Linked DNA regions of Macaca fascicularis. The protein of the gene in region 1 interacts with the protein of each later gene in a biochemical or structural test. Links are inferred from orthologs where the notes say so. Each region holds a gene or a part of one and is shown in the gene's direction. Other genes may lie near its edges.

What was found.
Region 2: the proteins of AMFR (region 1) and BAG6 form a complex in vitro, tested with the Homo sapiens proteins (2 studies listed by BioGRID, with this or other methods). The link is inferred for Macaca fascicularis from reciprocal best matches to the Homo sapiens genes AMFR and BAG6.
Region 3: of the proteins of AMFR (region 1) and HERPUD1, one has a biochemical effect on the other in vitro, tested with the Homo sapiens proteins (6 studies listed by BioGRID and IntAct, with this or other methods). The link is inferred for Macaca fascicularis from reciprocal best matches to the Homo sapiens genes AMFR and HERPUD1.
Region 4: the proteins of AMFR (region 1) and UBE2G1 form a complex in vitro, tested with the Homo sapiens proteins (7 studies listed by BioGRID, with this or other methods). The link is inferred for Macaca fascicularis from reciprocal best matches to the Homo sapiens genes AMFR and UBE2G1.
Region 5: of the proteins of AMFR (region 1) and CYP3A4, one has a biochemical effect on the other in vitro, tested with the Homo sapiens proteins (4 studies listed by BioGRID). The link is inferred for Macaca fascicularis from reciprocal best matches to the Homo sapiens genes AMFR and CYP3A4.

The regions. Positions count from the first base shown.
Region 1 is NC_088394.1:52,467,225-52,470,739, reverse strand, and holds part of AMFR (E3 ubiquitin-protein ligase AMFR), read left to right. Parts: intron 1-1,041; coding exon 1,042-1,194; intron 1,195-3,515. UniProt on the Homo sapiens protein: E3 ubiquitin-protein ligase that mediates the polyubiquitination of lysine and cysteine residues on target proteins, such as CD3D, CYP3A4, CFTR, INSIG1, SOAT2/ACAT2 and APOB for proteasomal degradation.
Region 2 is NC_088378.1:140,070,502-140,074,747, forward strand, and holds the start of BAG6 (large proline-rich protein BAG6), read left to right. Parts: upstream 1-1,441; 5' UTR 1,442-1,702; exon of another isoform or gene 1,703-1,843; intron 1,844-2,314; 5' UTR 2,315-2,327; coding exon 2,328-2,435; intron 2,436-4,246. UniProt on the Homo sapiens protein: ATP-independent molecular chaperone preventing the aggregation of misfolded and hydrophobic patches-containing proteins.
Region 3 is NC_088394.1:53,043,265-53,046,779, forward strand, and holds part of HERPUD1 (homocysteine-responsive endoplasmic reticulum-resident ubiquitin-like domain member 1 protein), read left to right. Parts: intron 1-911; coding exon 912-1,034; intron 1,035-1,574; coding exon 1,575-1,925; intron 1,926-3,515. UniProt on the Homo sapiens protein: Component of the endoplasmic reticulum quality control (ERQC) system also called ER-associated degradation (ERAD) involved in ubiquitin-dependent degradation of misfolded endoplasmic reticulum proteins.
Region 4 is NC_088390.1:4,427,233-4,431,176, reverse strand, and holds the start of UBE2G1 (ubiquitin-conjugating enzyme E2 G1), read left to right. Parts: upstream 1-1,142; 5' UTR 1,143-1,481; coding exon of another isoform or gene 1,482-1,527; intron 1,528-3,944. UniProt on the Homo sapiens protein: Accepts ubiquitin from the E1 complex and catalyzes its covalent attachment to other proteins. In vitro catalyzes 'Lys-48'-, as well as 'Lys-63'-linked polyubiquitination. May be involved in degradation of muscle-specific proteins.
Region 5 is NC_088377.1:48,404,216-48,407,580, reverse strand, and holds the end of CYP3A4 (cytochrome P450 3A8), read left to right. Parts: coding exon 1-77; intron 78-2,293; coding exon 2,294-2,389; 3' UTR 2,390-2,857; downstream 2,858-3,365.

The DNA.
Region 1 (3,515 bases):
TGTTCACAGTGCAAGGAAACCTTGATACATAAACAATAAAATCTGGTCTTTTCTAGATATTTTCTGTTCCAGTCTCCTTCTGTCTCCCCCAGCTTACCCTGGTTCCTGGAGCTCTTCTTTCTGACTAGTTTATACTCTTTCCACCCCGGGCCAGGACTGAATTAGTTCCCTTAGCTTCCTTGGTTGCAGAAGTGAATCCTTTTGTGTCTGGTACAAGATCTGTCACTTGGTTTCAGATCATAGCTGTATGGGTGAACCCCCACCCATTAGTGACCTGAAGTAGTCTCATGAGTCCCAGATAAATGTGCACCCACAATGCTGCCCCTCAGTTAAACCCACTCCAGGGCCGTGTTTTTCCCTGTCTTTACCCAGTCCACATGGACCTTGCACCTTGGTGTGAGTTAATCTCACTCTCAAACCTTTATTTCTTTCACATTCAACCCTCATTTGAAGCCACAAACAGGAACTTCTAACCTCCCAAACTGGTTTTTTTAATCTCCGCCTGCGACCTCAGGAGTTACAGCTCCAGGCCTTCTTTTCAGACAGTTGCCTCTCTTTGCATAGTGCTGACATCACATTGTAATAGTGGTAAATCTGCGCCTGGATTGCATTTCAGTTGTTCTAGCCCTAATAGACTGGGAATGCCAGTTTCAGAGAGGAGGACTAGAGCAAGATTAAGAAAGAAATACAACAGAACAGGCATGTCCTGAGTCCTGTTGAAGGTGAGAGGAGAGAGTTGTATACCCTCAGAACATTGCTTCTAGGGGTTTATAATCCCAGTGCTAGGAGGATCCTTGAGAGTAAGGGATAAAAATATAATGCATATTGTTATATTCAGTATATTATATGACAGGGATCTCTAAATATCAGCTCATGCTCATATTTGGGTTATTGTAGAATAGGACCGTATAGTAGTGGGATGCTTTTCTGTGCTTAGCACAGAACCCTAAGTAGAGAAGCCAAGATGGACCTTGAATTTCTCAGTGAAGTTTAACACTTCCATGAAGAAGAATGAGCAGTTTCCCACTGTGTGCATTTCAGCTTTCCTTCTCGCCCACCACGCCAATGAGCAGCCACGGTCGAGTCCTGTCCCTGTTGGTTGCCATGCTGCTTTCTTGCTGTGGACTGGCGGCCGTCTGCTGCATCACCGGCTACACCCACGGAATGCACACCTTGGCTTTCATGGCTGCAGAGGTGAGATGCTGGACGCAGGACTTTCTCAGATTGTGTTTCTGTCTGTTTTCAAGGAAGCTGGATGTTTGACAGGTTATTTTCACCCAGGAAATGACAGATGGATATTTGGTCTTTCATTTTAACAAGCATTTCAGTTCCTTTTTGTGTGCTGGGTACTGGTACTGAATGCTTTTGTGTGGTATTTTATGTAATTCTTTCTTTACATAGGGGATAAAGATTTTACAAAATGATGAATATGTAAATTTTGAAGGAAAAATCTGGTCTATTCATGAATACTTTAAGATTTAAAAATTTTTTACTCTTTTAAACCTTTCTGAAAATACCAATTTCTGTTCAGTAGAAATAAAAATTCTCCAGCCTGGCCAATATTGTGAAATCCCATCTCTACTAAAAATACAAAAAAAAAAATTAGTTGGGCATGGTGGCGCACGTCTGTAGTCCCACGTGCTCGGGAAGCTGAGGCAGGAGAATTGCTTGAACCCAGGAGGAAGAGGTTGCAGTGAGCCAAGATCACGCCACTGCACTCCAGCCTGGGTGACAGAGCGAGACTCCGTCTCAAAAAAAAACAAAACAAAAATTCTTTGTATGTCCTTATATTTAATGGCTGTATTTGCTTTTTCCTTAGTCCAAAGGCAAAATACCCATAATTAGTATTGTTAATTAAAAAATGAGATATTAGATAAACTGAAGCTAATTGGCTAATGTCAAAACACTTACTAAATGTGAACTACTAATTGGGAATTTGGTAGAGCAGAGTTAAAGTTTATTTCTGTTTGACAGCATTCATTTTGGAGTACATTTAGTAGTGTAAGTAAAATTAGAAAAGGAACATTTAAATATATAATGTTAATTATCATATTATAATATAATTAAAATACAATAGTCCTAATATAAACACTAGGATATGTAATCTTAGGTGAATACTTTCTGTATTTTAAAAATATGCAACTGTATTTCATCTTGACACAAAACCTGTTGAAAAATCTATTTATAATGACTTATTGCTTTAGGTATATTATATTGCAAAGCACAGTTAGAATGCTACTTACATTTGCCTTCTTTTGGTTCTCTAACTTTCAGCTAATATTAGTCCAAACTTTGAAAAGGATATACCTAAAAATAAACCCAATTAACTTAGGCCTGTCAGATCATACTATAGTATATACTTTTATTTTAGCTTGTTAGTGTTTATTCTTTTAAGATAATTTATCATATTACAGATTTGATATTTTAAACTAAATAATTTCTTATATTCATAGTGTTTCTCCTGTAAAATATTTTTCACTTACAAATGGGAATTTAATCTAAAACATAAACAATGTAATAGTTTTATTCTACTAGATTAAGAGGACTTTGTTCTTTTTTTTTTTTTTTTTTTTTTTTTGAGATGGAGTCTCGCTCTGTCGCCCAGGCTGGAGTGCAGTGGCTGGATCTCAGCTCACTGCAAGCTCCGCCTCCCGGGTTCACGCCATTCTCCTGGCTCAGCCTCCCAAGTAGCTGGGACTACAGGCGCCCGCCACCTCGCCCGGCTAGTTTTTTTTTGTATTTTTAGTAGAGACGGGGTTTCACCGTGTTAGCCAGGATGGTCTCGATCTCCTGACCTCGTGATCCACCCGTCTCGGCCTCCCAAAGTGCTGGGATTACAGGCTTGAGCCACCGCGCCCGGCCGAGGACTTTTTTCTTAATGAAAAATATATATATATATTTTTTGAGACAAGGTCTCACTCTGTTGCCCAGTCTGGAGTGCAGTGGTGCGATCTCGGCTCACTGCAACTTCCACCTTGTGGGCTCAAGTGATCCTCCCTTTTTAGTCTCCCCAGTAGCTGGGGCCACAGGCATGAACCACCATGCCAGGCCAATTTTTGATTTTTTTGTAGAGATGGGGTTTTGCCGTGTTACCAGGCTGGTCTTGAACTCCTGAGATCAAGCAATCGGCCTGCCTTGACCTCCCAAAGTGCTGGGATTACAGGTGTTAGCCACTGTGCCTGGCCATCAATTTCTATAATAAAAAATACCCTTCAAGACCAGCCTAGCCAACATAGAAAGACCTTGTCTCTACAAAAAAAAAAAAACAAAAAAAGTCACAAGAGGCTTATTTTGTCTGCCCCTCCCCTCCCCCCTTCCCCTTCTCCCCTTCCCCCTCTCCCCTCTCTCTTCTCTTCTCTCTTCTCTCTTCTCTCTTCTCTTCTCTTCTCTTCTCTTCTCTTCTCTTCTCTTCACTTCTCTTCACTTCTCTTCTCTTCTCTTCTTTTGCTTTTGACAGAGTCTAGGGTCTGGCTCTGTCACCCAGGCTGGAGTGCTGTGGTGCAATTTCTGCTTAC
Region 2 (4,246 bases), on another chromosome or scaffold:
GAGGATCGGTTGGGCTTGGGAGGCAGAGGCTGCAGTGAGTTGTGATTGAGCTAGTGTACTCCAGCCTGGGCGACAAAGCCAAACCCTCTCTCAAAAAAATACATAAAAAAGCTAAAATGTAACACTTTTTTATTGGGGCAGTAAAGTACAAGTGCTCGATCTGGAGTCCTGTTGGCCTCCATTTGTCAATTCTGACATTCATGTTCGTCTTAGTGTACTCACCTAAAAAATGTTAAAGGTTTATGTTAAAAGGCTTTTTAAAATAATACACAAGGCCTGCCCCTGTAATCCCAGCGTTTTGGAAGGCCGAGGCGGGCGGATCACGAGGTCAGGAGATCGAAACCATCCTGGCTAACACGGTGAAATCCCGTCTCTACTAAAAATACAAAAAATTAGCCGGGCGTGGTGGCGGGCGCCTGTAGTCCCAGCTACTCGGGAGGCTGAGGCAGGAGAATGGCGTGAACCCGGGAGGCGGAGGTTGCCGAGATCGCGCCACTGCATCCAGCCTGGGCGACAGAGCGAGACTCTGTCTCAAAAAAAACAAAACAAAACAAACAAAAAACCCCCACAAAACCCGTAGTATATCGGCTGGCACAAGTGCTCATTAAACAGATGCTTATTAGAACTCTTAACTAAAACATAACCAGGACCTGGGTATAAACTACGAATCTCAGAAAGGTTGGGCACCCCAGCAGCGATGTGTCTTTCGGGAGGACTCGAAGTTTCGCAGGGCCGAGGCCCTTGTCCCAGGGCAGGTTAAGAGGGCACGGAGAGGCGGTAATGCCTCCACCCCCGGCCTTCGGAAGCACGCTGGCCGGCCTTTAAATTCTCCACGATCAGGGTCTTGTCTTTCTGTCCACTCCAACTCCATCTGCTCCCAATTCTCAAACTCGGAGGCGCCTCTTTTCTTGACAAAAATCTTGCAATGTAGTAGCACGCTTAGTTTTCCTAAAACGTGTCATGTCCCCTTGGCCACACACCGCCGGTGACGAATGTGACGCCCACAGCCCGCAAAACGCCCACCCGGCGGAACTGAAATCTAGCCCAACCAACCAAGAACAAAATCGCCCCGTGCCGCCCCCAAACGCCTACTGTAACAGTAACTTCCGGAGGCACAGACGAAAGGGCGCAGCGAGGGCGAAAAGGTGGAGAAGAGTTTTAGCTAGCTAGGACAGTGCCGCCTGAAATTCTCAGCCTGCCAAGATTTAAACATAGATTAATGTGGCATAATCCCCCATCTCCAAAGTCCAAGGTCCATACGACCGTCCATAGCCCCTCTCGAAGCAGTGGTAGAGTCCCAGTTGGTGATTGTTTTACAGGCATTTACGGTAGCCACCTCAATCTTCTAGCGCTCAAGCGCGCGCACAGACGTGAACGCCGCCGAGGGGGTTGTGGGGGGGGGGGGGGCAATGCTTAAGTGTCTACGCATGCGTAGTGCGACACACGCAGGCGTAGTACGGTCCCCCGGGCGACGGCGGCGGCGGCTCCTCTGGGTGCTCGGCTCCCTCCCACCTAGGCCGGCCCCGGCCCGACTCGCCCTCAGAAACTCACTGTTTGGGGCTGCGGACTTTCTCGTCGTGCCCCACAAAAGTAAAGCTTGGGGACCTGGGGGGAGCCGGAAGTATCGCCTCGAGATCCCCAAATACTATCGGGAAACGGAAGTGGCCGTCGGTGGCAGGTTTGGGGGAGACCGGAAGTGACGGTCCGTGGGGAAGTCGGGGGCGGAGCCGCGGGGTAGTGGGGGTGTGTGTGTGTTTGTGTGTTTGTATTTGGCTGTGGGTTAGTTGTGCTGCTCTGCTGGAACACCGTGGGAAGGCAGGAGACGCGGGCAGTCAGCTAGCAGGTCGGTGGCCCCGTGAGTGCCGTTTCGGGTCTAGAGAGTTAGGAGGGTTCGATGGGCGTGGCGCGCGTGCGCGAAACCACTTTCCCCGCAGAGTGTGGCGCGACCACCGCTTTCGCGTAGTCCCAGGATTTTCCGACCTGTGGGGTGCTTGTCCTGCCGTGACCGGTGATGACACTAGTCTCTGGTCTCGTGCTTCCTTCCTAATCTTGACTGGCTCCACGCTTATTGTGATTGGCATCATGGAGCCCCTCCCACCTCTCGTCCTCCAGCTCCCTATGCCGTCGATCTCCTGCCCTTTTGTGTTTCTCTCCCTGCGCCCCAGAATCAGAGGGGGGGATGGGGACAGGTGTGAATGTGTGTGTGTGTGTAGGAGAAACTTTTTAGGTATTGGGGCAGGGATTAACGCTAGGGAGTCTTCCGGGTACACTCTGCTGGGCAACAGCGGGCCTCCTTTCCTTCGTTCTTCTTTAGAGACCTGTCGGCCATGGAGCCTAATGATAGTACCAGTACCTCTGTGGAGGAGCCTGACAGCTTGGAGGTGCTGGTGAAGACGCTGGACTCTCAAACTCGGACCTTTATTGTGGGGGCCCAGGTGAGACAACTCAGTAGTTCTGGAAGACACCTTTAGCTTTTTTTCCTCGTTTAGGCTCCTTAGCCTGAGAGATGAGCCTGATTTTTGGTGATCAGATTTTCTTTCTTTTCTTTTCTTTTTTTTTTTTTTTTTGAGATGGAGTCTCACTCTGTCTTCCAGGCTGGAGTGCAGTGGCGCGATCTTGGCTCACTGCAACTTCCACCTCCTACGTTCAAGCGATTCTCCTACCTCAGCCTCCTGAGTAGCTGGGATTACAGGTGTGTGCCACTATACCCAGCTAATTTTTGTATTTTTAGTAGAGACGGGGTTTCACCATGTTGGCCAGGCTGGTCTCGAACTCCTTACCTCAGGTGATCTGCCCTCCTCTGCCTCCCAGAGTGCTGGGATTACAGGCATGAGCCACCATACCTGGCCTCAGATTTTCTTTTTATTGATCCCTTCGTATTCCAGTCGAACGTTTTCTGATGTTTTGTGAGTGAGGCTGATTTTGTTCTGTCCTTCACATAGATAGAACTTAATGCAGAGGGAAATACAGAGGAAGGAAGATGTGTGTCATCATCACGGGTGGACCCCAGCCCAAAGGGACAGACATGGCTCTGGCCTTTGGGAAGGGAAACAGCACAGGGACCCTAAGCAAGTATGTGTTATTGATAGAAAGCAGTCAGGTTTATTCTGTGTTTTTAAAGGGTAGAAATCAGAACCCATACTGGAGATAGGTCCTTGATAGACTGTTGAGTGAAATTACTAATTTTGGTGTCACATCTTGAGTCTCTTGAGCTTAAAGCCTTGGACACAGTTATCTATGTCTTTTTTTTTTTTTTTTTTTTTTTTCCTGAGAGGGAGTTTCGCTCTTGTTGCCCAGGCTGGAGTGCAATAGCACAATCTCGGCCCACCGCAACCTCCGCTTCCCAGGTTCAAGTGATTCTCCTGCCTCAGCCTCCCTAGTAACTGGGATTACAGGCATGTGCCACCATGTCCGGCTAATTTTGTATTTTTAGTGGAGATGGGGTTTCTCCAAGTTGGTCAGACTGGTCTCAAACTCCTGACCTCAGGTAATCTGCCTGCCTCGGCCTCCCAAAGTGCTGGGATTATAGGCATGAGCCACCGCACCCGGCCCTAGCTATCTATGTCTTTATTTCTGTAATACTTGGAGACAAATTGCATGTGGGGTGGTCCATGGTTTTCTAAAACATGATATTACCTGGATATAAGAAAGCTATGTATAGACTTGTGATTAGTTGTGTATAAACACTCTGGTACTTCCCAAGAATCAGTCTCTAGTTAGGAAAAATATTTCTCTTTTTGCTACTTTTTTTTTTTTTTTTGGGGTGGAATTTTGCTCTTGTTGCCCAGGATGGAGGGCTGGGGTGCAGTCTCAGCTCCCTGCAACCTCTGCTTCCTGGGTTCAAGCGATTCTCCTGCCTCAGCCTTCCAAGTATCTGGGATTACAGATGTCCACCACTGCGCCCGGCTAATTTTTGTATTTTTGGTAGAGACAGGGTTTTACCATGTTGGCTAGGCTGTTCTCGAACTCCTGACCTCAGGTGATTCACCTGCCTCAGCCTCCCAAAGTGCTGGGATTACAGGTGTGAGCCACTGTGCCGGGACCTTTTTTGCTACTTTTTTATCTTCTTAGTCTTTCTTCATTCACCTGATTCCAGACCCCATCTTCTTTGCCATTTTTTAATCTTCGAAATCACAGGAGAGTCTGGTAAATAAACTTGTATCATTTTGTGTTTGGAAAGGGGTCACTGATGTTTCTAGACACATAGTCTCTTGGGAATTCCCATGGGAGCCAGACAGAAAATATA
Region 3 (3,515 bases), about 580 kb from region 1:
TCACCATAGTTAAACTTGATTTCCTTTAACAAATACTTATTGAACAGCCAGTACATATAACTGTGCTTAAGGATATGAGTTGACCTGCAGGAATGACCACATAACCAATTTCTGATCTTCGGGCAATTCTATTATGCTTTCAATTTTGTGATGTGCTACTGAAGAAATACACTGTGTAAGAAGCACAAAGCCAAAGATAACCCACATACACCTGCCCTATGAAGTTGAGGGCTGTGTGGCCTGATTGAAGAAGCGTGCATTTGACATCAGACCAGCTCTGAAATCCAGCCTTGCTACTTAACTAGCTCGGTGACCTTGTGTAAAGCCCCTGTCTTCCCTGAGCTGTACTTGGGTTCCCCTTGTAAAATCTCCTTCGTGAGATTGCTGTGGATACAGCAGCCTGTACAGGACCCCAGGTAGTCAGTAAGCATGCGCAGGTGATGCCACATGCACACATCACTATAGATACAGATGGAGGGTGGAGGAAGAAGTGTGGATATCAGGAGGATGGGAGAGATTTCCTTCAGGAAAGACTGGGAGAAATGTGACTTTTGAGCTGCCCTCTAAAAGATAAACAGTGGGTTGAGACTTGCAGTGAGACTCAACAAGTCAAAACTGAGCAGGGATCTATCTACTTAACCCCAAAAGGTTGTTTATACATGCACTCAGCAAGTAGGTGGCAAGGGCTGTTGTTTTCCTGTGGGATAGGACTGTGGTAGAAGTGCTGTGTCATTTAGTACCTTCCGTGCTTATGGTACATGGGTGCATCATACAGTCATTTACCATGTAACTGCCATAAATCCCATTCTTCTGTCTCTTCCATTTGAATTCTAGATTTTAATTTAAACTTAGTTTTCATTTGCTCATACTCAACCCACTCAAAATGAGTGTTTTTTTAAATCTGTGTATAGGCCTGAAGCTGCCCAGCAGGCATTCCAAGGCCTGGGTCCTGGTTTCTCCGGTTACACACCCTATGGGTGGCTTCAGCTTTCCTGGTTCCAGCAGATATATGCGCGACAGTACTACATGCAATAGTGAGTCCTTCCCGCTGTGCTGGGTGTGGCCAGGGCTCCCGGGAATTGAGAGGAATTTTATCCATGTTACCTGTCAAGTTCAGAATGGAGGGATGAATGTATTTTCATCAGTCTGCAGAGCCCTGCTCTGTTTGGTCTGTGGGTGGAGTAGAGTGTAAATGACAGCTGTTACCTGATTTGTATATTGACACAAGGGTGTTTTTGTCTGATACACAGTTTAGTGACTTTATTTAGAACATGTTACTTTCTTTTCAATTTGTGGTACCTTCAAAGTTTTGTGAAGATTTTAATTTGCTACTGTGCCATAATCTTACAGTGGCCTTGATGTTTAATTCCAGGTGAAATTCACCACGTGGCTTCTCTTAGAAAAGGCATTTATAGATATAGTTAGTAAGGAAGTTCTTCACTAAATTGAAGGAAAATCAAATGCATATCTACCTACTTCAAATTCTTAACAGTAAAAGACTGCTGTGTAAATAAGCCACAGCCTTCACGGTGCTTTGGTCTCAACAGTATCTGCCTCTGTCATTTTTATTTTAGTTTAGCAGCCACTGCTGCATCGGGGGCTTTTGTTCCACCACCAAGTGCACAAGAGATACCTGTGGTCTCTGCACCTGCTCCAGCCCCTATTCACAACCAGTTTCCAGCTGAAAACCAGCCAGCCAATCAGAATGCTGCTCCTCAAGTGGTTGTTAATCCTGGAGCCAATCAAAATTTGCGGATGAATGCACAAGGTGGCCCTATTGTGGAAGAAGATGATGAAATAAATCGAGATTGGTTGGATTGGACCTATTCAGCAGCTACATTTTCTGTTTTTCTCAGTATCCTCTACTTCTACTCCTCCCTGAGCAGATTCCTCATGGTCATGGGGGCCACCGTTGTTATGTACCTGTAAGCAGATGGTTTCTCTAATACAAATTACGCTACATTGTGTTCACACTAAGCAGATTTTGCTCTTTTTTGTTTTTTGTGTTTTTTTTTTTTTTTGAGACAGAGTCTCGCTCTGTCACTCAGGCCGGAGTATAATGGCACGATCACTGCAACCTCCGCTTCTCGGGTTCAAGCGATTCTCTTGCCTCAGCCTCCTGGGTAGTTGGTATTACAGGCACCTGCCACCACGCCTGGCTAATTTTTGTATTTCTAGTAGAGACGGGGTTTTGCCATATTGGCCAGGCTGGTCTCGAACTCCTGACCTCAAGTGATCCGCCCACCTTGGCCTCCCAAAGTGCTGGTTTTACAGGCGTGAGCCACTGCGCCTGGCTAGATTTGCTCTTTTTTGAGCAATCTCAGTTACTGTAGAAGGAGGTGTGTTTAAATAGTATATCATTCTGTGGCTGGGCGCAGTGGCTCACGCCTGTGATCCCAGCACTTTGGGAGGCCGAGGCAGGAGGATCACATGAAGCCAAGAGTTCAAGACCATCCTGGCCAATATGGTGAAACCCCGTCTCTACTAAAAATACAAAAAATTAGCCGGGTATGGTGGCGCGGGCCTGTGATTTACTTGGGTAGCTGAGGCAGGAGAATTGCTTGAACTGAGGAGGCAGAGGTTGCAGTGAGCCAAGATCGCACCACTGTGCTCCAGCCTGGGTGACAGAGCAAGACCCTGTCTTAGAATAAATACATAATAAATAGTATATCATTCTGGCACTTTCAGCACAAGGAATTCATGCCTTGGTTGGTTGTATGGTCCCAAGAACATATCAATCCTGTATTAATACAAGAATATTCTCTTGTCCTCTAGATAAGCTACCTTACCTTCCAGGCTCACAAACCAGAATTATGTAGCCATACTGAGGCATGGAACAGCAAATTGTATTTGTTTTGAATGAGAACATATTTGCCTTTATCAGGCCACAGCTGCCTTCCAGGGTAAAGGTCAGGCACTGACTGTTAGCATAGCCCTGAAAGGCAAGGGAATCTTCACATACCTGACATTTGGTTTTAGCTGTGGCCTGGAGCAGTACTCACCTGGGGGTGGTTTTGTACTCTCTCTCCCCAGGGGACATTTGGCAATGTGTAGGTATTTTTGTTTGTCACATCTAGGGGAAGTGGTCCTGCTAGCATCTGGTTAGTAGAAGCAAGAGTGCTGCTGAATTTTCTACAATGCACAGGACAACTCCCACAGTAAATATTTGGCTCAATATGTCACTAGTGCGAAAGCTGAGAAAGCCTGGCCTGGAGTGATGAGTCTTCGTGGTTGAAACTAAAAGAAGAAATTTTCCTTTATAGTAAAAATGGATTTTTATTTTAGCTTTTAAAAATAAAAAATAATTAGAATATAATGAACACTCAAATATCCACAATTAATCATTGCTAATATTTTGTTATATTTGTTTTAAGACTTGGGATTTAATTGGTTTCTTCAAATCAAACATTTAGTTAATATTTTCTGTAGTCTCTAGAATCATATATTTAAATGACCAAATGTAGGTTGTCATTATGTTATATATAATGATAGTTTTGTAGGTATATGCTTTCTCC
Region 4 (3,944 bases), on another chromosome or scaffold:
AGCTGGGAGTATAGGCGCCTGCCACCAGGCCGGGCTAATTTTTGTATTTTTAGTAGAGACGGGGTTTCACCATGTTGGCCAGGCTGATCTCGAACTCGTGACCTCAGGTGATCTACCCGCCTTGGCCTCTCAAAGTGTTGGGATTACAGGCGTGAGCCACCCCGCCCCGCCGAAACCTCCCATCTCTATAAAGCAAATAAAAAAATAGCAGGGCATGGTTGTGTGGTGTGTACCTGTAATCCCAGATACTAAGGAGACTCAGATGGGAGGATCCCTTAAGCCCAGGAGTTCCAAGCTGCAGTGAGCTATGATCACTGCATTCCAGCCTGGGCGACAGAAAGAATTGCTGTCCATAAATAATAATAATAACACGGCCGGTTGCGGGGGCTCAATAATAATAGGGCCAGTCGCGGTGGCTCATGCCTGTAATCCCAGCACCTTTGGGAGGCTGAGGCCGGTGGATCACTTGAGGCCAGGAGTTTGAGCCCAGCCTGGCCAACATGGTGAAACCCCATCTCTACTAAAAATACGAAAAATTTGCCGGGCGTGGTGGTGGGCGCCTCTAATTCCAGCTACTCAGGAGGCGGAGGCAGAAGAATCACTTGAACCCGGGAGGCGGAGGTTGCAGTGAGCCGAGATCACGCCACTGTACTGCAGCCTGGGCGACAAAGCGAGATTCGGTCTAAAAAAAAAAATCTTTTTGTGCACTCTTCATGTAAAGAGAATTATCAGCATATATTGCCTCTATTTTGGTGTTTGGTTAAAATGGGGCACACCAGTACTAACTTCGGCTTTCTAACAATTCCTAATTCGCACACCATGTGGCAGTGTTAGATGGCTTTTGGGCGCTCGCCAACGACAAGACATCTACCACTTCTTTTGGCCCCTTCGCTCCCATATCCATTACTTCAATCCAGATGCTGTATTTGACCCTCCGCGACCTCTTTGTCATGGCGTCCGCGGGGCGTCTACCAGCGGAGACTTGGGCTGGCAGCCGGGCGTCGACCTTCCCAAAATGGCGACGACAGGGACAACTGCGCTTAGGGGGCGGGGTTCCGCCGCCGGGGGCGGGGCGGGAGGCCGAGGGGTCGGGCTAGCGGGCGGGACGCTTCCCAAGTCGGCTGTCTCAGCGCGCCTGCGCCGAGCGGCCCTGCGCGCAGTGAGGCAGTGGCGGGGGAAGGCACCGGTGGGGCCGACGGGCGGGTTGAAGGAGGGAAGCGGGCGAGCGAAGTCCCAGTGCGCGCCGCGGCAGCCCGGGCACCCTCCCCTTCCGGGCGTGAGTCGCTGTGAAAAGAGCTGAAGCGAGCGGACTCGCACCGGCAGCGAGGCGCCGCTCCCGCCGCCTCAGCCCGGCCTCCCTCGGCTCCGGCGCTCCGGTCGCGGGGCCCGGGTTCCTCGGCACACCCCGCTCCAGCCGCCCCCAGAGCCTGTCCCCAGCCCTTCGGAAGCCCCGGCGCCAGCCCGGGCCCTCGGCGGGGAGGATGACGGAGCTGCAGTCGGCACTGCTACTGCGAAGACAGCTGGCAGGTGAGCAGGCGGGCGGCGGGCCGCCGGGCTCGGCCGCGATCGCAGACAGCCGCTGCTCGGTCCCTCTTCTCCTCCTCCCGAGCCAGCGGCCGCACGGCCGAAGGGGTCCGGGCCTGCGAGGGTGGGTACCTCGAGGCTCCGGTCCCGGCCGGGCCCAGCCGTTCTCGCCTGGCTCTCGGAGGGCATTGGGGGCGGGGACGCGACCCAGCTCCGGGCCGGGGACCGGGCCTGGCGCCCGGGGGATCGGAGAGGAGGCGGCCCCCCTCCCCCACCGTTCTGTAGGACGTTGCGGGGGAGGGGCTGTGTGCGGATCCCCAGGCCGGGGCCGCCAGCCTGGAGGGGCGGGTCCCGGGCTCAGGTGCTGCCGGGGTCGCCGGACCTTCGGGGCCGGCTGGAGCGTCCGGGCCCAGCGTGGCTGCGAGTCCCAGGCTCGGTGTCTGAGCCGCAGGGGGCGAGGGCGGGCGGAAGGGACCTGCCCTGGCGGGATAGGTGAGGCGCACAAAACTTCTCCCCGGGCGGCGCTGGGTCCGCGGAGTTGGGGCCGACAACAAAAGCGCCGGCCTCGGCGGCCTCCACGCGGGCGCGCGGGTGCCGGAGACCCTGGCGGGGTGCGGAACGCCGCCTCGCCTGCCTCCGCCTGGCACGGGCTCCGGCTGCGCCGCCCGGCTGGGGGAGGGTAGGAGCGGGCCGCGGGGAGAGCCGCTCGCTGGCCGGCTCCGGGCTTTGTGCTCGCCGCGATTCCTGCTCCTGCGCAGGCCCGCAAACCCCGGAGCTGCGCCCGCAGACTCTGGCCCGGGGCGGCGGCCGGGTCGGCCTCTCCGAGGAGCCTGCGGCCCCCCTCCCCCATTGTCCCGGCCTCCGGCCGTTTGCGGCTTCCAGGTTGACTTTTTAGGGGGTTGGCTCCTACTCTGCTAGGACTGTGTGCGCAGAGCATGCGCACTGGAGACGTCCGTGTGCGGAGTGGAAGGGGGGAGGCGGGTTGGTGGCTTCACAATGCAGCCCCACGTGCTGCCAGATTTAAAGAGAAATGAACCAGCAGTTACCCCTGCTGTACAACGCCCGGCGTGTGTCATTCTCAGTTCAAGCGATCTTCCCCCTACCCACTCTACAACCAGTAGCCTCCGGCCCTCAGCAGAAGCCAAAGACTGGAGTGATGAAATCTGTCTTTGAAATACATTTACTAAGAGTTTGAGGTGTTCGTTAAATCACCTTTATAGCTTCTTAAGGAAAAGATTGTCAGGGGTTCTTACAGATAGTATAATTGGGTTTATTATTAGACCATGAGCAAGCAGGTTTGGACAAGTATTAAAGTTCTAGATGCTCGGGGGAGTTCGCTTCCAGTGAATGGAGAAGTTCTAATGATACTACAGGATACTCATCAAAATTATGTACTGGAAAAGCACTGAGGCCGGGCGCGGTGGCTCACGCTTGTAATCTCAGCACTTCGGGAAGCTGAGGCGGGCAGATCACCTGAAGACAGGAGTTCAAGGCCAGCCTGGCCAATGTGGTGAAACACCCGTCACTACTAAAAATACAAAAAATTATTCGGGCGTGGTGGAGGGCGCCTGTAATCCCAGCTGCTCGGGAGGCTGAGGCAGGAGAATTGCTTGAACCCGGGAGGCATCGCTGCAGTGAGTTGAGATCGCCCCATTGCATTCCAGCCTGGGCAACAGAGCGAGACTCTTCAAAAAAAAAAAAGAAGGGCCGGGCGCCGTGGCTCATGCCTGTAATCACAGCACTTTGGGAGGCCGAGGCGGGCGGATCACGAGGTCAGGAGATTGCGATCATCCTGGCTAACATAGTGAAACCCCGTCTCTACTAAAAATACAAAAAATTAGCCGGGTGTGGTGGCGGGCGCCTGTAGTCCCAGCTACTGGGGAGGCTGAGGCAGGAGAATGGCGTGAACCCCGGAGGTGGAGTTTGCAGTGAGCCGAGATCGCGCCACTGCACTCCAGCCTGGGCGACAGAGCGAGACTGTCTCAAAAAAAAAGAGAACTTTATTCCATCTTTTTTTAAATTTTGAGGCAGAGTCTCACTCTTATCACCTAGGCTGGAGTGCAGTTGCGTCATCTCGGCTCACTGCAACCTCCGCCTCCTGGGTTCAAGTGATTCTCCTGCCTCAGCCTCCCGAGTAGCTGGGATTACAGGCGCGCACCACCACGCCCGGCTAATTTTTTGTATTTTTGGTAGAGGCGGGTTTTTACCATGCTGGCCAGGCTGATCTCCAACTCCTGACCTGGGGATCGCCCGCCTGGGCCTCCCAAAGTGTTGGGATTACAGGCGTGAGCACCGCGCCCGTCTGCATCTTGACATTTATAAACACCTTTTCTGTATACTTTTTTGTTTGGAGGAGGGAATTAAGATTTCCCCAATTCTTTAATCAGAATAAGTTTTATGTGGTGAATTGTTAAACAACT
Region 5 (3,365 bases), on another chromosome or scaffold:
TTGCTCTCATGAACATGAAACTTGCTATAATCAGAGTCCTTCAGAACTTCTCCTTCAAACCTTGTAAAGAAACACAGGTTAGTCAATTTTCTATAAAAATAATGTTTTATTAAGAATTCTTTTAACTGAAAGGTCTATATTTTTTAAAAAGAATATGCTTGTTTAATCTTTTACTAATTTGTCCTATGGGCCAAGGAATCAATTTGGACCCATCTGTGATCTTTAAGGGCGCTTCAGTTCTCGAGGTCAAAAGCTGTAGCATTAAAAACATCATGTGAAGTCCATATAGATTAGCATGGCATGATTATCTGCAGTCTCCTTGAACTTGAGCAAAGTTTAAGTTCAGTTTCAAGTTGATTGGAAAGATGGGGAAGTATTTTGCACAATCATAAAGTGCAATGATTACCTTGTTGTGACTTTTGAATGCTGCTCTCCCCTACCAGAACTTACAGAAATTTTCTCATGACAGTGGCTCCCAACCACTAACTGTACCTTGGAATCACCAGGGAGCTTTAAAAATTCATGATGCCTGGGATATCACAGAAATTCTAAACTAATTTGCCCAGAGTGTAGCTTTAAAAGCTCCCCCATTGTTTCTTATCTGAAGACAAGGTTGAGAATGACTAATTTAAGGCATTTCTGGTGGACATGAAGGGCTACCACAGTCCAAGGCCATCCTGACTGACCTCACCTTCCAGGTGCCTAGCTCCATTCAGTTGGGCTCCATTTCAACCCAGTTATAACTCTATTAATGTTGTTCCCTTTCTCCTCATTTTGTTCTTATCTTTCAAGTCCTAGTTCAATTTCCAAGCCCCTCCAAAGTGTCTTCTCCTCCTAGTCCAGGGCCCATTTACTTCTCTGCTCTGTTATTGGATACTGGAGGCTATTATCATATAATTTCACAATTTGCCATTGAATCATTGAGTTTTATTCTCTATATTTTCTGTGTATCTAAGAATGTCTTCCCACCTCCATTAACAATATCCTCTCATTTTATTCCTTTTAAAATATCCCAGTGGTGCCTTGCAAGGGACTGTATCTAACGCAAGCATTTGGTCAATGTTTAAGGAGTGATGTGCAGTTGATGGCTTGCATACATATATTAAGCTACTTAATGTGAACCTTTAACAAATGCTATTCATGCATATGCGCGCGCGTGTGTGTGCGTGTGTGTGTGCACATGTGCACATGCATGTCTGTCTGCAGTGAAAACATTCTTGGGTTTTGAAAATTTTTAAATAGTAAGGTGTTATATTTATAGAAAGATATTTTCTCTGAAGAAGTTAAAGAACAGATGTCACTGATTCATATTAAACAAGACCCTATAAATCTTATTTCTAAGTCTCACGTATTTATTATTCAACTCCACCCCTTAGGTAGGCTTTCTATATAGGAGAGGAAGAAGGTAGTAATAGTTTCCATATTATTTTCATATTCCATATGATTGGTGACTTTAGGCCAGCTGTGTAGCTATCCTATATGTGCTCAGACAGGGGACTCAGCGTTGAATAAAAGTGGTCCTCTGGCACACCTGGGATGGGGAAGGTACTCCTTGGTAAGCTCCCAAGCTGGCACTTCTTGATCTCCATGGCCATTTTCATGCCCATTACTCCATGGTGATCAGAATATCACTCTGTTGCGTCCCCTCAATACTGAAGCAGTGTCTCAATAAGAATGGGGCTAAAAGTTGAGTCAAAACACTGTAGGAATTGAGAGGTTCCCCACTTGCACTACCCTTAGGAGCCAAGAGGAGAAGATAAAAAATAAAACGATGATGTTTCCTGAAGGTGTCTTCCCATCTTTACACTGGACAGGTTCAACTGGGAGGAATTACTGGACTCTGGAAGTTGAAGACTGTCCATATAATTAAAATGTACAATAACTACTTAGGATTACCTTGCAAGTTTCAACATACACAAAATTAACTTTATATGACTCTTCAAAAATAGTTTGCCATCATACTTAATAATCTGGTTTAAATTTTAAAAACTCATCCATTTTACTTACAATTTAAATCAATAAAGAACACAGGTTCCCATGAATTTGTCTCAGGCCTGGCACAGAAGAGTACTCCATAAATATTTTGTTAAATGATAGATGATGAATGCTCTCACTATCCAATCTTCACACATCTTATAGAATAAGTGTAAAGAATCCAAGATTTATAGTGCTGAAAGTAGTTTTTATATGTTTACAAGCATTATTGTCATTACTGCATTTTTTTACTTTGATGCTATATTTTCTACATTTGCTTTATTTAATACTACTCAATACGCTTTTTTAACTGTTGCAGATCCCACTGAAATTACGCTTAGGAGGACTTCTTCAAACAGAAAAACCCATTGTTCTAAAGATTGAGTCAAGGGATGGGACCGTAAGTGGAGCCTGAATTTTACTAAGGACTTCTGCTTTGCTCTTCAAGAAAGCTGTGCCCCAGAACACGAGAGACCTCAAATTACTTTGTGAATAGAACCCTGAAATGAAGACGGGCTTCATCCAATGTACTGCATAAATAACCAGGGATTCTGTACATGCATTGAGCTCTCTCACTGTCTGTGTAGACTGTTATACTTGGGAATATAAAGGAGATGACCAAATTAGTGCAGGGGAGGTAGATTTGGCTCCTCTGCTTCTCATAGGACTATCTCCAGCCTGGTTCAAGCACCCCTAGTTAGCACCATTAACTCCTCCTGAGCTCTGACAAGAGAATCAACATTTCTCAATAATTTCATCCACAATTATTAATGAAAACAAGAATTATTTTGATGGCTCTAACAGTGACATTTATATCTCATGTTTTACCTGGAGTATTCTATAATAAGTTTTATATTAAATCAATAAAGACCACTTTACAAAAGTATTATCAGATGCTTTCCTGCATATTAACGAGAAATCTATAGAACTGAATGAGAACCAACAAGTAAATATTTTTGATCACTGTAATCACTGTTGGTATGGGGCGTTTGTCAGAACTAGAATTTGATTATTAACATAGGTGAAAGTTAATCCGCTGTGACTTTACCCATTGTTTAGAAAGAATATTCATAGTTTAATTATGCCATTTTTGATCAGGCATAGTGGCTCATTCCTGTAATCCCAGCACTTTGGGAGGCTGAGCCAGGTGGATCGCCTGAGGTCAGGAGTTCAAGACCAGCCTGGTCAACATGGTGAAACCCCATCTCTACTAAAAATACAAAAATTAGCTAGGCATGGTGGTACATACCTGTAAACTCAGCTACAAAGGAGACTGATATTTGGAAAAATCTAAAGACTCCAAAGAACTATTGGAACTGATAAACAAATTCAGTAATGTTGCTGGATACAAAATCAACATACAAAAATTAGTAGCATTTCTATATGCCATA